Macaca fascicularis: one gene and its partner. The protein of the gene in region 2 purifies or fractionates together with the protein of the main gene of each other region. This does not show direct contact. Links are inferred from orthologs where the notes say so. Each region holds a gene or a part of one and is shown on either strand. Other genes may lie near its edges. The genes, in order: CTBP1 and ZEB1.

Region 1 (8,535 bases), on a different chromosome or scaffold from region 2:
TGGCACTGGGGCTGGGCAGTGATGTTGGTCAAGGGATACATTTCAGTTACATTGGAGGAATATGTTCTAGGGATCTATAGTAGGACATGATGACTATAGTTAGTAACAATATCGTGTGCTGGAAAATTGCTGAGAGTAGATTTTAAGTGTTCTCACCACACCAAAAAACGAGTGTGTGAGTTAGTGCATGTTAATTAACTTGATTTAGCCATTCCACAATGTATACATATTTTAAAACAAGTTGTAAACAATAAATATATACAATTATTATTTGCCAATTAAAATACATACATTTTAAAATATTTTAGATATTTGTCCATTTTTGTTTCAAGTTTACTTGTTGGTCATTTTATTGTTAAAAATTTCTTGGTTGTTTTTGGCCGGGTGCAGTGGCTCACGCCTGTAGTGGCTCACGCCTGTAATCTCAGCACTTTGGGAGGCTGAGGCAGGTGGATCACCTGAGGGTCAGGAGTTCGAGAGCAGCCTGACCAACACAGTGAAACCCCATCTCTGCTAAAAATACATAAAATTAGCTGGGCGTGGTGATGGGTGTTCTCCAATTCCAGCTACTCGGGAGGCTGAGATAGGAGAATCACTTGCACCCGGGAGGCTGAGGTTGTAGTGAGCTGAGATTGCACTATTGCACTCCAGCCTGGGCAACGAGCGAAACTCTTGTCTCAAAATAAATAAAAAAAAAGACTGTTTTTTTTCTGTGTGTACATGACTGACACCACCAGTGGTTTCCTTTAACACCTCATCAACGTTCCCAGGCACTTTTTGTATTTGAGGTATGTGAAGTAATAGGGTGGCCGTTGTCCTGAGTGTGATCCTGAACACACCGACTGATAAAATGGGGGCCTTTGGCTGCACACCAGACGCTCTGGGTACTGATGAGCTCGCCCCCGACTCTGCCAGAAATCAGAACGGTGGTCCAGGAGAGTTAGCAGAAAGAGGAGGAACCAGACGCAGTGATCTACCTGGTTTGTCCTGGTGTCAAGTAACTTGGAGTTTTTCTTTCACACGTGGCTGGTACACAGGAGCACTCATAAATACCCGAGTTGAATAATATAGTCCATTGACCTGGAGTTGCATGAAGCAGCATTCATCCATCCAAAATGCCGATGCTTCTTCAGAATGTACTGAATTTTCCCCCAATCCTAGGTTGTCCCACGTGATGGACAAAAATACCCCGTGTGGGAATGAAGGCTGGCCGGGGGGAACCTGGTGCCCAGGCCTCTGGCATCCCCACCAAGGTGACTCTCCAGCAGCTCCTAGGACAGCCCATCCGTGTAGGGCAAACGCCACGAGACCCTCCTGTGTGCAGGCACATGACAGGCCCAGGCACAGGGAGGCAGGTGGGCAGGCACAAGAGCAGCCAAACACTGACCCTGGAGGGCGGGGGTCATCTGCTCATCATGGCAAGGACTGGAAGTGGGAGAGGCAGGCAGCGCCCACTGGGGTTGGGACGAGCTGTGCACACGGCTGGGTGCACACAAAGCTGAGGCTTCTTTGTGAGCAACACAGTCACATTTGGGTGTAGGAATCTTGGCTGGAGTTGCCCAACGTGGGGAGCAGACAGCTCTGCAGCCAGAATCACAGCTGGAGAAGGAAGCACTTGGAACAAGCCAGGACAGTGGGACGGGCCAGGGCCAAATAAGAGTCGTGATAACGCACTGACAAGTTGTGCAGAGGGACACTGTGCAGACGGAGGCCATGGGGCGTGCTGATGGGGAAGACGATGGATCCCTGGCTGGCATGCATCCCTCTCCGTTCTTAGTTGCCTGTGGAATTCCAGCGAGCTCTGCTCCAGCTACACTGGACATAAAAGTGCGCAGGAAATGGATCCTGGAGAGGAACTGCTCTTCTGGACTGAGCTTGCTGCTCAGGGCAGCCTCACCTACAGGACCCAAAGCCTTATGTGATGTTTGCTGGACACTCAGCCACGTGGCTGCCTGTTGAGCTCTGCCAGTCCACGTGGGAGCCAGGAATTTCTCCCCAGAAGCCTCTCCATTTTATTCACCAATGCCCAGTAAATCACAACCTGACTTGCTGCAGAGGATGGAGTGCCTGGGACCCGTCTGTCCCCAGCTTCCCTGGGGAAAAAGGGAGTGGCATGTCCCTGCTGCCTTCTGGGCTGCCTGTCCATGCAGAGCAGATAGGAAAGTCCAGTGAGGTCCCTGCCTGTGCACTCCACCAACCACATCATCCCTTCCCAGCAGCCTCACCTAGGCCCCTCCATCTGTGACCCCTTGTCCCCTGCACCGATGTCTGGCCTTGGAGGTTGCTGCTCATTTTTCTGGAATTTTCTTAGATCTCTGCAGGGCTGCCCCTCCCCCTACAAGGGCTCCACACGTGTTCCCTCCTTCATGACTCCCACTGGGCTTCCCTGACAGGGCCCCACCCTCCCCAAAGCTCTGGTGATACCTGCCAGGTTTCCTCCAGGCCACAGCTGGGCAGCCCGGTCTTAGAACAGAAAGTGGTACGCATGGCAGGCCCGACTGAGGGCCCAGCACTGTCAGTGGGGTCAGAGGTCTTCCCAGGCCTGGAAGGGCAGACATGGGCTTCTCAGGGCAGCCTAGGACGCGTCCTCACGAACCACAGCGAAACTAGAGCAGGTGTCTCTCGGATAGGAGTCTGCATCATTCCGTCTCCAGGCTGTGGTTTCTCAAATTATGCAACTATCTGATCATTCCAGTGTGCTCAGAGTAGCCACGCGCAGAGGCCCTTCCCACAACTCCCCACGGGGTGGATGGAAGCGTCCACTCGCGGCGCGAGGAATATCCCTGGGCCCCTCGGGAGAGTCTGCAGGGGCAGCCCCTGGGTGAGCAGGCCCGGTGCGGCCTCTCCCTGAAGGGACTTTCGGGCCCTCCCGGGTCGGGGCGTTTCCCGCAGCGGGCAGAAGCAGAGCTGGCTACAAACCCTACTCTTGTTAAAGGAGAAACGGGGTCGAGAAGGGGGTTCTCCAGCCCTGAACTTCCCGGGCCGGGAACAGCGCGCTGGGCCGGGCAGAACGCGGCCCCTCCCGGAGTCGGGGTCCCCCCCGGCTGGGGACGAACTGGGGCGGGCGCGCTTCTCCTCCCGGGGCCCCATGTGCGGCCGGCTCTTGGACGGTAAATCAGGGCTCGGGTGGGGGCGATGGGGGGAACCCGCGGCCTCGGTGCCCCTGGCCAGCCCCGGGGACAGCGGCACCGCAAGGACAAGTCTTCGGAGGCGCACGGGCCAGGCCGCGGGGCCAGAAGCGAGCGGGGGAGGGCGGCGGCTGGCGGGGCGGGAAGGGAGCGGGGCGGCCGCTGCGCGGAGGAGCGCCATTTACGTTCGGGTCCGTTCCGGGCGCTGACGTGGGCGACCCTGCCTCGGCTTCCGGGCCCGGCGCCGTCCCGCAGGGGGCCTCGGGGCGGGCGGCGCTCCTGCCAGCGGTGCTGAGCCCGGCCCGACCCTGCCCGCCTTCCTCCGGGACAGGCGGTTTAGAACGTGCGGAACACCGGGCCTCGGGCCTCCGCCGGGCTGCAGGCCCCGTGAGCTTCCCGCCAGGCTCCCGCCCCGCCCCGCAGCCGCGCCCGGCCGGGCGGGCCCTGAGCCGCCCGCGTGAGTCCGTGCGCCGCCCGCGCCGGGAACCAGGAGACCAACCGCGAGGCCCCGCCCGCGCGCGCCGCCGTGTCCCCGCCCGCGCGGTCGTCGGAGCGCGGCTCAGCGGCGCGGCGGAGGCTCGGCACGGCGGCGGCCAGGCGCAGGCGAGCGGGCGGAGCAGCGGACGGCACCGAGGCCGCCCCACGCGCCGGACTCGCGGCGGCGCAGCGCGCCGGAGTGGTCGGGGCCCGCGGCCGCTCGCGCCTCTCGATGGGCAGCTCGCACTTGCTCAACAAGGGCCTGCCGCTCGGTAAGGCCGCGCGCGCGCGCGTTTCCGGCCGCGGGCGGGGGCGGGGCGGGGCGGGGGCCGCGCGGGCGGGGGGCGCGGGGGCGGGCCGAGCGCGCGCCCGCGGGCCGCCGGCTTTGTGTGCGAGTGCGCGTGCGCGCCGTCGTCCGCGCGTGGCCGCGGTCGGGGGCGGGACCGCGGCAAGGGTCGTGCGCATGCGCGGGCCGCTGCGTGTGAGCGAGCGCCGCCGTGTGCACTCCCCGCCCGCGGCCCGCGCAGGTGACACAAAGGGGCCCGTGGGCCTCCAGGCTGCTCCACCGACCCCAGCCCCATGGGACCCGGGACGGCACCCCGAGTCCCGAGTCCCGATCCCCGGCCGCTACCCCGTCCCCGGTCACGACCCCGCGGCTGGGCCTGCGGGACCGGGGTGGGAGCTGCGCCGTGCGCAGCTACGGGTGTCCTGGGGAGCGCGCTCCCGGGCCACTCGCGGGAGCGCGCCCCCTCCCGCCCTGAGGCTGCCGGCGACCGCGGCCGCGCGCTGTGGGGGAAGGGGACGGGGCCTGGGCGCCGGGTCTGACCGTGGAGGAGGCCGCCGCCCTCAGACCGGGCCCAAAGCGCAGCCCCCGGCGGTGACGCGGGCGGTCCCCGGGGGTCTCCGCTCCCGCGAACTCCGCGAGGGCCCGGCCCGGCCCGGCGCCTCCACCTGCCTCTGCCTGTGCCGGCCCGGGTCCCGGGGCGCCTTCCTCGCCGGCTGCGGCCCCGGAAGCAGGGAGCACGGGCGGACGCCGGGCGCACGGCCATCGCCATCTTGCAGCGCCCGCATCCTGGGCCGGCCCGGGCCGCTCCGCGGAGCCTCTCTCTCCCTCGACACGGCTGCAAAGGCAGAGCCCGCGCGCTTGATCCCCGGGCCAAAGCTGGAGCGTTCTCTGGCGGCCTCCAAGGGCATCGGTGTCCAGAAGCCCGGCCGGGGCCAGAGCCCTTTTGCTGTAGTCTCCGCGATTGCCGGGACAGAATTCCCTTCCAGTGGGGAAAAGGGAAGGCGGTCGCGCCCTTCCCGGTGCCCTGAGTGGGGAGGTGAAACCCTGAGAGTTGGGGCTAGAGGGCCCGGAGCCAGGGCCGAGGCGGCGGGTGCGCAGGGTGCTCCGTGGAGCCCGAGCACCCCCAGCCAAGTCCTCTCCACCGTTTCTGTAGGAGCTCGGCAGGGAGCACAAGTCCGTCGGGAAGAAAACGGCGCTGGTGGCTGGGCCCGCGCCGCGGGCGTCCTCGCTGAGCTCCTAGCGCATGGCCTGTGCGCGTCTGTGTACCCGTCTGCGGCTTGGGGCAGGGTTGGGGCAGCACCGTGGGGTAACTATTTGCCGTTGCAGCTGAGGATGACAGCTGCGGTTTGGGGGTCTCTCGTTCTGTGTCCTGGAACTTTGTAGGGCGTGGCTCTGCCCTGGGCCTCAGCACCAGGTCTCCCCTGCCCGCCCAGGCCTGGCCACCTCCCTCTGGGGTCTGGGTTTGGCTCCTGGTTGGCACTGTCAGCTCTGCAGACGCGTTTTGCCCTCTGTGATTCTGTCGCCCATCTTTGAGCACCTGCTTCCATGCTGGCGTCCTCTGCAGAACTCTGGGAGGGACATGCAGTGGGGGCTGCATCTGCTCACTGCCCGGGGTGCCTTGTCCACCTGCCTGGCCGTTTTTGAGGTGTCTGCCATGTCCGCAGCATGTACTTCGTCCTGTCAGCCTTGACCAGGGCAGCTGTTAGTTCTGAGAGGTGGACATGTGGTTGGGAATGTCAGTGAGTAGGATCTTCCCTTTTGCACACTTGTCATTAACCTGAGAACATGGCAGTGGGGGAGGGGAGGTTTGGCCCCGGGTGCACGGGACTGTGGGCTGGTCCTGTCCGTCTGCTGAGTGGGATGGGCCTTGGCCCAGTCCTGTGGGCTTGGCGCAGAACCGACCCCAGCCACATCCTGGGGAGATTGGAGGTGCTGGCTGGTCCTGTCTGCCTCCTCCAAGGGCTGGGAGCCCCCCACTCTTTGGACGTTTGTAGTGTAAGGTTCCATTATCCAGCAGACAGCCACTGTTAACAGTCACTCTGTTAATAAGTTTTTTCTGGAGGAACCCTGGACAGAAGTAGTCACGCTCTGCAGGAAACGGGTCCCAGGCTCGAGAGGCCTAGTCTCTTCCTTTGGAGCTCAGAGGTGGCTGTTCAGCCACACCTGGCTCGCCTGGCAGTTTTTCTCCTCTGACTGTAACTAGCCCTTTCAACTTCCTGTGGCCACTGCCCCCAGAGTGTGACCTGGTCTGAGCTGATGGTGGCGTCCCTGAGCCAAGAGGCGTACGGCTGGTACCACTAGTGTTGCTGAGAACCCTTCAGGCAGCGTTCTGTGCCTGGCTGTGCCCTGGCGCTCCCCACGCAGTGCCCAAGTCAAAGGCGTGTGCCCTGTGAGGTGTTTACCCGAGTGACTCTCCTTCCAGAAGGACTTCTTGTTTTCCCCTCCACTCAGGGCTGGAGAGGGCTCCGTACGGGTGGTGCTGACGGTGCAGGCCTGGCTCAGGGCCCAGGGGTGGCCAGGAGGTGGTGGAGGCAGCAGGTGGTGTCCTCCGGGTTCTGTGGTTGAACTGCATCGCCTGAGGGAACGCTGGTCAGAGTACCGGGGTCCTCTGGTGGTCGCTGGATTTTGGTAGTTGTGGGTAGGAGCTCTGTGCTGGGAGTGTCTGGCCCCCCAGGTCCTCCATTGTCGGCTGCAGTGGCCAGGGCCCACTACTCTCCCCCACACTGGGTGGGGGTAACCCACAAGATGCCACCTGCATCACTGACCGTCCCTTCCAGAAGCCCGTCCAGCCACACACTCCATGTGGTATCTCCCACGAGGAAACGTTCAGTTTTTTCCTGTAAAGTCAGAAATCTCTTGGGTGGCCTTTTGTCAAGCCAAACATTAACCTTGAGTTGTCTCTCTGGGTGGCCAGGCGGTGCCAGTTCTTATGTGCGTTGAAGGAAGAGTGAGGATGGCCCTGAGGGAAGCCCAGTTGGTTTGGATGGGGAGGAGTTGGGGCTACGGCCCTGAGAGAGGTGTGGGTGGTGTTGGGACCAGGCCCCTTCTGCACCCTCCCCTGGCACCGCCATCAACTCCCCAGGCCTAGTGTGGCCCATGCCACCCTGCCCACCCATGCCACCCTGCCCGCCCATGCCACCCTGCCCCGCCACCCGTGTCACCCTGCCCACCCGTGTCACCCTGACCTGCCACCCATCTGTGGTGTGAGGGCTGCTGGGCTGCCCTGTCTGCATGGCTGGCGTGAGCCTCAGAGGCGTCTGAGGCTGCCTCTCGAGTGGTGTCATGTGTAGAGTGTCCTGTTGAGAAGGAGAGGAAGGGTGTAGCCCTGATACCCCACGCGTGGTAGGAGCCGGGAAGGTGGTGTTCTGGGGGTCCTGGAGCTCACAGGGCATGTGCATGTGCTCCCTGAATAAACAGGGAAACGTACGGCTCCACGGGTGTCCTGGAGAGGAATCTTGCTGGCAAATCCGTGCCTTTGATCGCAGCCCCTACACTGTGTCCTCTGAGCTGTGATGCGGCCCCACAGGCCCTGTGGAGTACTGTGGCTCCCTGGCTCACAGGGATGCCGTCGTTGGAGGTGCCGTAACGGCTCGTGGGTGACTTGGGCGGTGTCCGTCTGGGGTGCTGTCATCGGAGGACCTGTATCAGTCCATGGGTGACGGGCGGTGTCTGTCTGAGGGAGGTTCTGGTGGCCCCATGCTCTCAGCCCAGTGGCTCCACGCTGCTGTGTAGTCCTTCTTGAGGGCCTGCCTTCTCTGCCGTTGAAGGGCAGGGGCTCAGTTCCCTCTGGGTGGCAGGCGGCTGTATCTCAGGACCGGAAGGCTCCGGGTCAGGCTGTGCACAGCCTTCGTTCATGTCAGCTCCTGGCTGGGCAGCACAGGGGCCTCCAGGCCTGGACAGCCAAGGGGGGCATCTCACCAGTGCCCAGATGGCTGTGCTGGGGACTTGTGGCAGGACAGCTTTGTCATAAGATGGCCACTCGAGCCTGGAGTAATCAGGGCTTACGGGGACAGGGCGGGGTGAGGGCTGGTGAGACTGCCCAGCCTGAGGGTGCCCTTCTGGTGGTTGGGGAGCTCCTTCCTGGGCAGCGGCTTTAGGGGCTGCTGTGGAGAGGGAGAGGTGAGGTTGGTGAGGAGGGGCTTTTGGGACACACTGTCCTGGTAGAGGCTGTGGGGAGGGGAGCATACAGTTGGCCCAGCAGGGCTGGCCAGTGGAGGCACGTGGAGGGTTGGTGGCCGCCGAGCCTGGGTCTGAGCAAGCGGGGATGGAGACCAGGTACCGAGGCTGGGGAAGGAACGGGGGCAGCCGCTTGGTCCTGGCACATCTTGGGGTCCCCTGGGACTTCCTGGGAACCCCAGTGCCCAGAGACCCACTGTGGCTGTCTGGCGGGGGGGCAGGTCCCAGCCCGTGGTGACCCCCAGTGTGCCAGGGCAACCCTGGTCCCTCTCCAGAGTGGACCAATGCCCAGCACACACGTGGTTCAGGGCCGAGTGGGCAGGCATGGCCAACAGGAGGGAGGATCCAGCAAGCAGCTGGTGATGTGTGTCCAGAGACAGGGTGTTGACATGTGGCCAAGAGGTTCTGGGGTCATCAGGCCGCCACCGTGCAGCCCCCACCCCAGGACTTGATGGCTCCAGAGAACCT
Region 2 (8,743 bases):
GGCTAAAATCCAGACATGCTCATAACATAGTGAAACTTTTATTTAGTAAACTGACGTCCTAAAGATGTTTCCTTTAGTGATACAATACTCAAAACACTGCCCCATGCAAAAGAATGATTAATTTATATGGCAATGCCTACATAATAGATCAAATTTAATTTTAACTAGGGTTGCTACAAAACTTTCTCTACTACATATATTTCTATTTGCTTTCTACTTTTAGTTCATACCTAGTTGAATGATCATTTAGCCAGTAATATGTACAACATCTATCCTTTTAAAAGGTATTTTAAAAAATCATTTTATCATATTTCCTAATCAGGACGCTTTTCTAGTTTAAAATTTCTTCAGTTTTCTTTCAACAATGCACTTTTATTTTAGCTTATCTCTCAATTGGAAATAAACAGCATGCATTTCCACATAAATTAGTGACCGTACTGCAAAGAAACCTTTTTAAATCCTAGTTCTACAGCTTCACGTTTTCTAACGTCTTGTTGTACTCTTGCACACTAATGCATATCTTCTTCCAACATCTGCATGATTTTTCTCCTCCTCCGCTGCAATTCAATACAGGTAGTTAAGAGTAGCTAACAATATAATTCCACATGATACTGCATCTGTGTTTACATCTGGCTCTAACCACATGCTTAAAAGTGATTTATACAGGTAAATCCAAAAGGAGGAAAAAGCAAAATAAAAACCTATGAGACATCATTATGCTGTCATTTTAAAAATATAATTCTCAATTTAACAGAAGTTTCTCAGCACATGCTTCAAAAGCTACTACATAGGAGGGTATACCATTTCAAACATACTGGAGACTAGAGAAAGGAAGAAAACAGTACTAAACAAATATTTCACATGCTTTTTATATCAGGGTCATCTTAATAAATGATTAATACTTTCAATTTATAAGATACTTTAAGTTTTGCTCCATGCTACAATGTATCTCGTGACTTTGTGGCCAAGTTTCTGAGTTCATAAACATGTAAGTGAATCACACCTATTCACTACTGAGCCCTCAGGAATTAGAATACTAAATTAAATAAATACCTGTCAGGAAATGAAAAACTATTTACACACACACACGAATAACCATGACATCCTAAAATAAGAAATTAACACAGGCTTACCTGGCAATTCAATACCTACTTAGTTCAAGATAAACACTATGGCTATCCCATTATGGTACTGATATTGATGCATTTATAGAAACACCACTACAAATAATTAAGGAAATAAATACTTTAATGTTCTACTTAATGAGAGGCTTAAAATTTACAGTTATATTAATATACCTATAAGGACACAAAATGAAAAGACATAACTAAATACACTGTCTCATGCAATTATTTATATGCAATTTATAGTTTGTTGAAAGGAGTTATTTTAATACAACCATACAGCAACGAACGAACTACAGAGACTTTTTACTGCATTTAAGATCTCAAAGCAAACTTATATTCTTAATTTACAACTGACAAATTTAAAACGTATGACTATGCAATAACTGATTCTTAACTAAAGAGGTCGGGGAGCACTACCAGTAGGAAAAGACCTGAAGGGGAAGGAAAAGATAAAATCTAAAAATCGCTAACATCTGAGTGACTGCTAGTTACCACCTCCTTTAGTAGCTCTCTGCCAACCCATCCATAGTCTAAGTCTACATAAGTTATATAAAAATAATTATAGTATTATCAATCAATTGTAATTCTTACTACTCTTAAACTTTTACCATTTTAGATGTATTTTAACATCTAAAATATGTATTTTAAGGGATCTTACTATTAATTTTAAAAAGGGATGATTAAAAAGTATTCTAAATACACAAAATAAATATGGGTCAATTATTACATATTCTTCTCCAAACCTAAGAACATAAAACAAAACCTTTTTAAAATAAGGAGTGATGCAACTGCTCTAAAACAAAAATGAATTAGTAGCAACCTCAATTAGAGACTTAAATAACTCAAATTTATAAAATTATTCAAGTTAAAACAGTCCTGCTTCTTTCTAGTTTTGGCAAACTAGAAAATGCCTATGCCTAATTTAACCAAGGCTAGTTTTAATTAACAATAAGACTTAGAATTATACTGAAGGTCCCAATCAGCACAGTAGATAGAGAGACTTATGATACTACTACACCAATAATCATTTTTGTTAGCATCCTCTACTGGTGGTTTCCAATGACAGCAAGGGGAAATGGTGCTGATGACAGAAGGATATGTACCTGCTATTCCATCTAAAGAGAATTAATTAGCATGTGGTCATTAGTAGCTAGAGTACATCTCTCTCTCTCTCTCAAAAAAAAAAAAAAAAAAGGAAGAAGAAGAAAACCACATAGAAGAAAGCAGAAAAAGAGAAAAGACAGATTTTTAAAACACAACAAAGCATGAAATTATAAATGGTAAAAACTAATTCCAGCAATTCTAATATCACTCCTTTATGGATGACTAACATTATCATAAAGTTACCACACAAGGCTTGATGCTTTGGCCAAACCTTACCCAACTGGTTTACCCCTGTCAGTTACATTACCTGATACTCCCTTTAATATCTTACCTTCAGACATATTCCAGAAAGGAAATTAAAATATTTTACAGAAGCCTTAGCAGCAAAATCCACATATCTTATTTCAAAATGAATAAGACATTTACATATATAAAAAACAACATAAAGTATCTCTCTATGACAATCTTCCACTGTATACATCACGTATTTCTTCATTAAAAAGATTTGAGAGTTAACATTTTGCCAGGCAATTCTCTCCAATAAACATCTGCAACTTAAATATGACTGCACTGCTAAGAAATATTAACCAGCACATATACTGAGGTTTCACAACACAATGGAATATAACTTCATTTTTAATTTGCAAAATATAAGGCTAAATCAAATAGCATGACTACAATCACCAGCAATGGATGAAATGCATTTGAGAACAAAAAGAAATACAAGGACAGAGCCAAAAGTGATGAAAATGGAAGATACCTGTAGTAGTACAGTGCTACCTTAAACACCTTTTGTTTTCTGAGAGTAATGCATACTGCAGACAAGACGTTTTGTGCTAAACAGACGCAAATCTGTTTTTCTAATATTAAACACAAAGGAAAAACACTGACATCAAGCATGGTAAATAAATCCCTCCCTTGAGAATGAAAGCAGCAGACAGGAGGGGGCTGACATACATGCAGGAGAAAACTAAACACCATCTTTTTTCTACCTGCACAAGTTGCCATTTGCTGCAGCGATCAAGAACCTCTTTTTCTTCTTGATTTCAAGTACCTTTCAGGATCGCTTTTCCCCCCTTAAGTCATCTGTTGATATGCCTTACAAGTGTAATATTCATATCACAGGATCTTAAGGAGAAAAATCCATTCTTTCCTGTTCAGGTAAACATGTTTACAGCAGCTGCACAGACGCTGGGTGGTTCAGACTCACATGTCACACACATGTCGTCAGCAACAAGAAAAGCCCCTTTCTCTGGCGATCAACATTTTAAATAAGGTAAAAAGCGAACAGCTCTTTCCGAACCAACTTACCTTTCATAAAGCCACATCAGCAACAGCGGCAACAGCTCAATATAGAACACACACTATTTGACGCTAAAACAGGAAATTAAAATTGCAATAGCCTATGCTCCACTCCTTGCTATAACAAGTCATCTCTCCACAATGAGGATACCAAAATACCTTTCGATTATAATCAATATACGTCTTTAAAATGCAAGTGTTTATTTGAATAATTAAAATCACTCATGAAAGCAGTGATTTTAATGTCGACTCGAATATATTAAAAACATATTTATGGATTGAAAGGAAACATCTTGAAACAGCTTAAAAATCTTCGTATCTGCTTCTAGACAGGAAATCCCACACAAAATCTAAAATTGCCAGGAAAGGTTACAAAACCTCGCGTTTCGCATCCCAGAGGGGAGGGAGAAAGGGAGCCCAGGCGCGGGGGGTGGGGCGGGGGAGCAAGAGAGAGTTTTCTCCTAAATACGTATTTCCTCGTTTTCTCGACGCTGCAGCGGTCCCATTATAGACGCATTTATTGCCCCTCTCTTAAAAGTCGTTTTAAAAATAACGCAGGAACCAAAGCGAGCCCCTCGGTCCGAAATGTACGTGTAATTCCTTATATAGCCTGGGCTGCGGCCGGCGGCAGGGCCGTTGCCGCCCATTATTATACAAACAGGTACCCGGGCGGCGCTGGCGGGGGCTGCTCTCCCCGCGCTCCCGCCGCCCCCGGGCGGACAAGTCTCGCCCCTCTCGCCACAGGAACTGTCCAGACAATAACAATCAGCAGACATTTCCCTGCTGCACGAGAGGGAGAGAAAGCACAGCATCGCCCCGAGATAACCAGAAATACAATCAACTTACAACGTCTCTCCAAACTGGAAAAGGCGACTGTGCAACCACCACCACATGTTCAGGTCTCGATCCCTCGGGCTGTGTGTCTCTCTCTCTCTTTTTTTTAACTCTCACGCCAGGCAGAGGGGTGTGTGTTTCCCCTGGCACAGCAGCACAAATCAATAAACACTGCAGCTGCGGCGCGAGTAGCAGCCCCGCGCGTCCGTCGGTCCGTCCGCCCCCTCCCCCCACCCTCCTTCCACCCGAGACCCAGAGCGCCATCCAAGCCCCATTATCCGGCTTCAGCGCTCCGTGCGTCCGGCCCAGGTAACAACTTCCCCAAAAAGCGAAAGAGAAAAGCGAGAGGCGCACGCACACCGGCCCATCCCGGCGCAGAGACCGCGTCTGCCCCGGGAGGGGGATCTGTCTGTGGTGCTTCCCGGTCTCTAAGCCCAGGTAACAACTCCGCAAACACACCCGCCGCCCAGCTCGCCTCCATCCGCGCGGCTCCCGGTGGCGTTAAGTAGGTGCCTTTCCTGCCCTGTCCCCGCGCCTCCCCGCCGCGCCCCGCCAAACGTGGACCCCAATCGCGGGGCTCGTAGCGGAGTCCCCAGGCCGGGGCTCTGGGCCCGGCGGCGGGAGGCGCCGGAAAGGAGGGGCGCTTAGGAACCCGCGCCCCCGCCTCTAATCCCCGTTCCGCGAGCGCGCCCGGCCCGCGGGTCCCAACTTTACCGCCGCCGGCCAAGCCCTGTCCGCCCGCGGCGCGCACCGCCGGCGCCCGCGCACACGCGCGCACGGACCCCACGCAACCCGCGGTCGTCCCGTCCCGCCGCCGCCCGCCCGCCGCGCGCCCACAGCCCGGCCCGAGTCGCGGGGCCCGAACGACGGCGCCAGCCGGGGCCGCGGCGCGCGGAAGCCACTTTGCACGGTCAGCGCCGGGCACAAGTTTGTTCTGCGGCTCCCGGGTGCTTGGGCGCTGAGGGAGAATCCCGCCGAGGGGGCCGGGAGGAAGTGCAGAGGGAGGCGCCGAAGGGTACAAGAGTGGGGAAAAGTGCCGAAAGAAGCAACAGCCGCTCCACCCGGGACCAGAAAAGTGGCCAGCGCGTCCCGGCCGCCCGCCCTGCGCCGGGGATGCGGCGGCGCCGGCGGCGGCTAACGGTCCAGGGAGGCGGCAGGGGCGGCTGGAGCCGCTAGGCGGAGAGAGACCAGGTAAGAGACATAACGGTTCAGGGAGAGCGAGCGGCCGCGGCGCGGCTCCGGCAGCGACGGCAGCGGAGGGGGGCAGAGAGCACTACTTTCTACTTTCCCACTCCACTTTGCCGTCCCTGCCCCGGCCGCCCCCAGCCCGGCTCGCCCCTCTCACCCCCGGGGGCGCCCCGGCTGCCCGGCTCCCCCTGACTCCGCTGCTCCCCGGTCCCCTCCGCCACTCACCGTTATTGCGCCGCGGGTTCGCCTGCTTTCTGCGCTTACACCTGGGGCCATCCGCCATGATCCTCTCGCTTGTGTCTAAATGCTCGAGTCACCTCCTCCCCCTCCCTCCCCCTTCCCCCCCACCCCTCCGCCTCCACCCCTCCCCCCTCCCCACCGCACCTGGTTTACGACACTCCCGGCTTTACGACATCACCTTCCTTACACCTAGAGGCGCTCGCTCTACGGCCGGAACCTTGTTGCTAGGGACTGGGCGGTTTGCGGCAACCGTGGGCACTGGTGAATTTGAATTGAGGGGCGAGGGAAAAGTTTTCCTCAGGTGTGGTGGGGTGAGGGAGGCGGGTGTTGGGAAACCGTGGGGACGTGGTCAGAAAGGCGACGGGCTGTCGGAGTTGGAAAGGTAAAGTTGGAGGCTCGGCGGCGTCCTGCCTCCGCGCTGGCCACACCCGCCGCGGCTGCCCTGGGCAGGGAGAGATCTGGCTGATTCTCTCTGGACCCTGTGCCCTCGGAGCTGCCCCTCCGAGCGCCCAGAGGTCCCCGCCTGCCTGCTTCCTGGAGGCAGGGCTACCATCAGTCCCACGCCTCGCGTGTCAGCCCCGCGCACCCCGGGGCCAAGGAAAGGGATCGCGGTCTGGACTCCCCGGGGAGTTCCCTTGAAGAGGGGAAGGGCAGTTTCGGGGACGGCGAGGACATGCGGCGCCCGGAGAGAGGCTACCTGACCCGCGCAGCCCGGACTCCCTTCCCTTCCCTTCCAGGGACGCCCGGTTTCCCCCCAAGCGAACCAGGATGGGAAGTGACTTCAATGAGATTGAACTTCAGCTGGACTGAAAGAGAGGCTAGAAGTTCCGCTTGCCAGCAGCCTCGTTAGTAGAGCGGAATGAGTAATACCCACACGGTGCTTGTCTCACTTCCCCATCGGCACCCGGCCCTCACCTGCTGTCACCTCGGCCTCCCCCACCCGGTCCGCCCTCCCCGCCCTCCTCCTCGCATAGATCCCTGGGATCCTAGGCGGCAGGACTCAGAGCTAAGCCTGTATCCACAGGCCATGAATTCCTTCCTAAATTAGCGGTCATCGCTGTGCAGGACCTTAAGGCAAGAAGCATCGGCTGACAGATGTGATCTCTGAACCTGACAGATTGCTGATTTTATCTTATTTTATCCTTGACTTGGTACAAGTTTGGGGATTTCTGAAAAGACCACGCAGATAACCACAAATATCAAGAAAGTTGTCTTCAGTGTTCAGTAGAATTTAGATTTAGGTTTCCTTCCTGCTTCCCACCTCCTTCGAATAAGGAAACGTCTTTGGGACCAACTTTATGGAATAAATGAGCTGTATGCCAAATACTATAGTTATAAATTAACAATGTAGGGGTTATTGATAGAGAAACGGAGAAAACTGAAACATGACCAGAGTATTGGAAATAACGTAGTACATCACCTAGTACAGTGACACATAATAGGTGCTCAATAAATTTATGCTTACAATTTTTGCCACATCATGGCAGGATTTTTTTATTAGGTTAAAATTATCTTTTGAACACTTTCTGGAATTTTAGAATATTCGTTAATAATGTCTTCAAACCTTTCAACTGAAATAAATTTACAACTGAAGTCTGGTGATTTAAAGTTAGAAAGTTTAATCTTGAATGTAGATGAACATTTTCTCTCCCGCATTTTCTTGGGCATTTTGAGAAGTAAATGCATTATTTATTGGTCCATGAAATGTGACTGTAAATATTCTTTGCTATACACGATGACTATATATCTGCATTCATCCTCAATGCCAAAACTAGAATCATTAGTCTTAATGATCATTTTAAGTACAGGCAGTCCTCGCTGTCCTCGATACCATGTTAACCGAAACTTGTGCATGTCAACACGGTGTCCTTTGCTTGGTTAAGTGTGAGCTCTTCCTCCCTTTTTAAGAGTTGTACAATGTTTTTCAGTCGCCTACTGAATCAGGTCATAGACTATGGAATTGCCCCCACAGTAAGGAAAAAAAAAAAAAAAACTTTCCAACTCTAGCACACATTTTATCTACTCTTAAACTTAGGAAGTATTACAAATAGCATTTTCTCATGTTCTCTGGCCTATACCTCCCCTCTCAGCTTCCTTCAGTGTTCATTCTCACCTCGTAAAGAGATGAAGTGAAGAGACAAACAGAAGTCATTTTCTTCCTTTAGTGGCTTCTGGTTTAGTTAGTTTAGGCCAGACTCTGTGGACAAGTACCTTTTCAGGCAACTTTTTTTTCTTCTTATTTCTATGTCCTCAACACCTAGTGGAGTATGTAGCCAATAGTAGGTGCTTAATAAACATTTCTTAAATTAATATTGTTGACCTTTTCTGACCCTGTTCTTGACAGTAAGATACATAATCTGCCTTCATCCCCTTAGTCCTTAGGAACAGCTAGAGTCATGGATGTGAAAGTGATTACTGTCATTAATATCCAGACTAAAATTGCTCGTGATTTTAGTTTCTCCACAATCATTTTCCCTAAACAATGAACTCTTTTCACCTTATTTTTAAAATATGCACAGTGAATATTACTGGTAGCCCAAATCTTCTAACATAAAATTTCCATTTTGTAAAAGCTTCTGATAAGTATGTAGATTATGAATTTAATGTTTGATTATTATACTGTAATGTTCTTGAAAATATTGATATCTGGACTGGAAAGAAAACAGATGAAAGTAAATCTCAGAATAAATTACTGCTTTAAACATGATGCATGTGTGATGGTTGCTTCTTATCTCTTAAATATAACTAAAGAATAGGGGAAAAGTCTTTAGAATCTATTTATAAAAGAAGATTATTAAAATTTAGGCTTATTCAAATCCAATGGTAGGGGATACTAATATATGAGTTTAACATGTATCCTGCATTCTTGATTTTAGTAATTGTAGTGCTGTCATATAGCATACATGCAATATATATGCTTATTTTTAATATGTCAATGAAATGTTAAC

Evidence for each region.
Region 1: the proteins of ZEB1 (region 2) and CTBP1 purify together in Homo sapiens (affinity purification with mass spectrometry; 9 studies listed by BioGRID and IntAct, counting the BioPlex papers as one, with this or other methods). This does not show direct contact. The link is inferred for Macaca fascicularis from reciprocal best matches to the Homo sapiens genes ZEB1 and CTBP1.

The regions. Positions count from the first base shown.
Region 1 is NC_088379.1:1,341,271-1,349,805, reverse strand, and holds the start of CTBP1 (C-terminal-binding protein 1), read left to right. Parts: upstream 1-3,662; 5' UTR 3,663-3,837; coding exon 3,838-3,877; intron 3,878-4,062; exon of another isoform or gene 4,063-5,197; intron 5,198-8,535. UniProt on the Homo sapiens protein: Corepressor targeting diverse transcription regulators such as GLIS2 or BCL6. Has dehydrogenase activity. Involved in controlling the equilibrium between tubular and stacked structures in the Golgi complex.
Region 2 is NC_088383.1:32,074,124-32,082,866, reverse strand, and holds the start of ZEB1 (zinc finger E-box-binding homeobox 1), read right to left. Parts: upstream 5,858-8,743; 5' UTR 5,839-5,857; coding exon 5,781-5,838; intron 5,559-5,780; exon of another isoform or gene 4,380-5,558; intron 3,879-4,379; exon of another isoform or gene 3,550-3,878; coding exon of another isoform or gene 3,543-3,549; intron 1-3,542. UniProt on the Homo sapiens protein: Acts as a transcriptional repressor. Inhibits interleukin-2 (IL-2) gene expression. Enhances or represses the promoter activity of the ATP1A1 gene depending on the quantity of cDNA and on the cell type.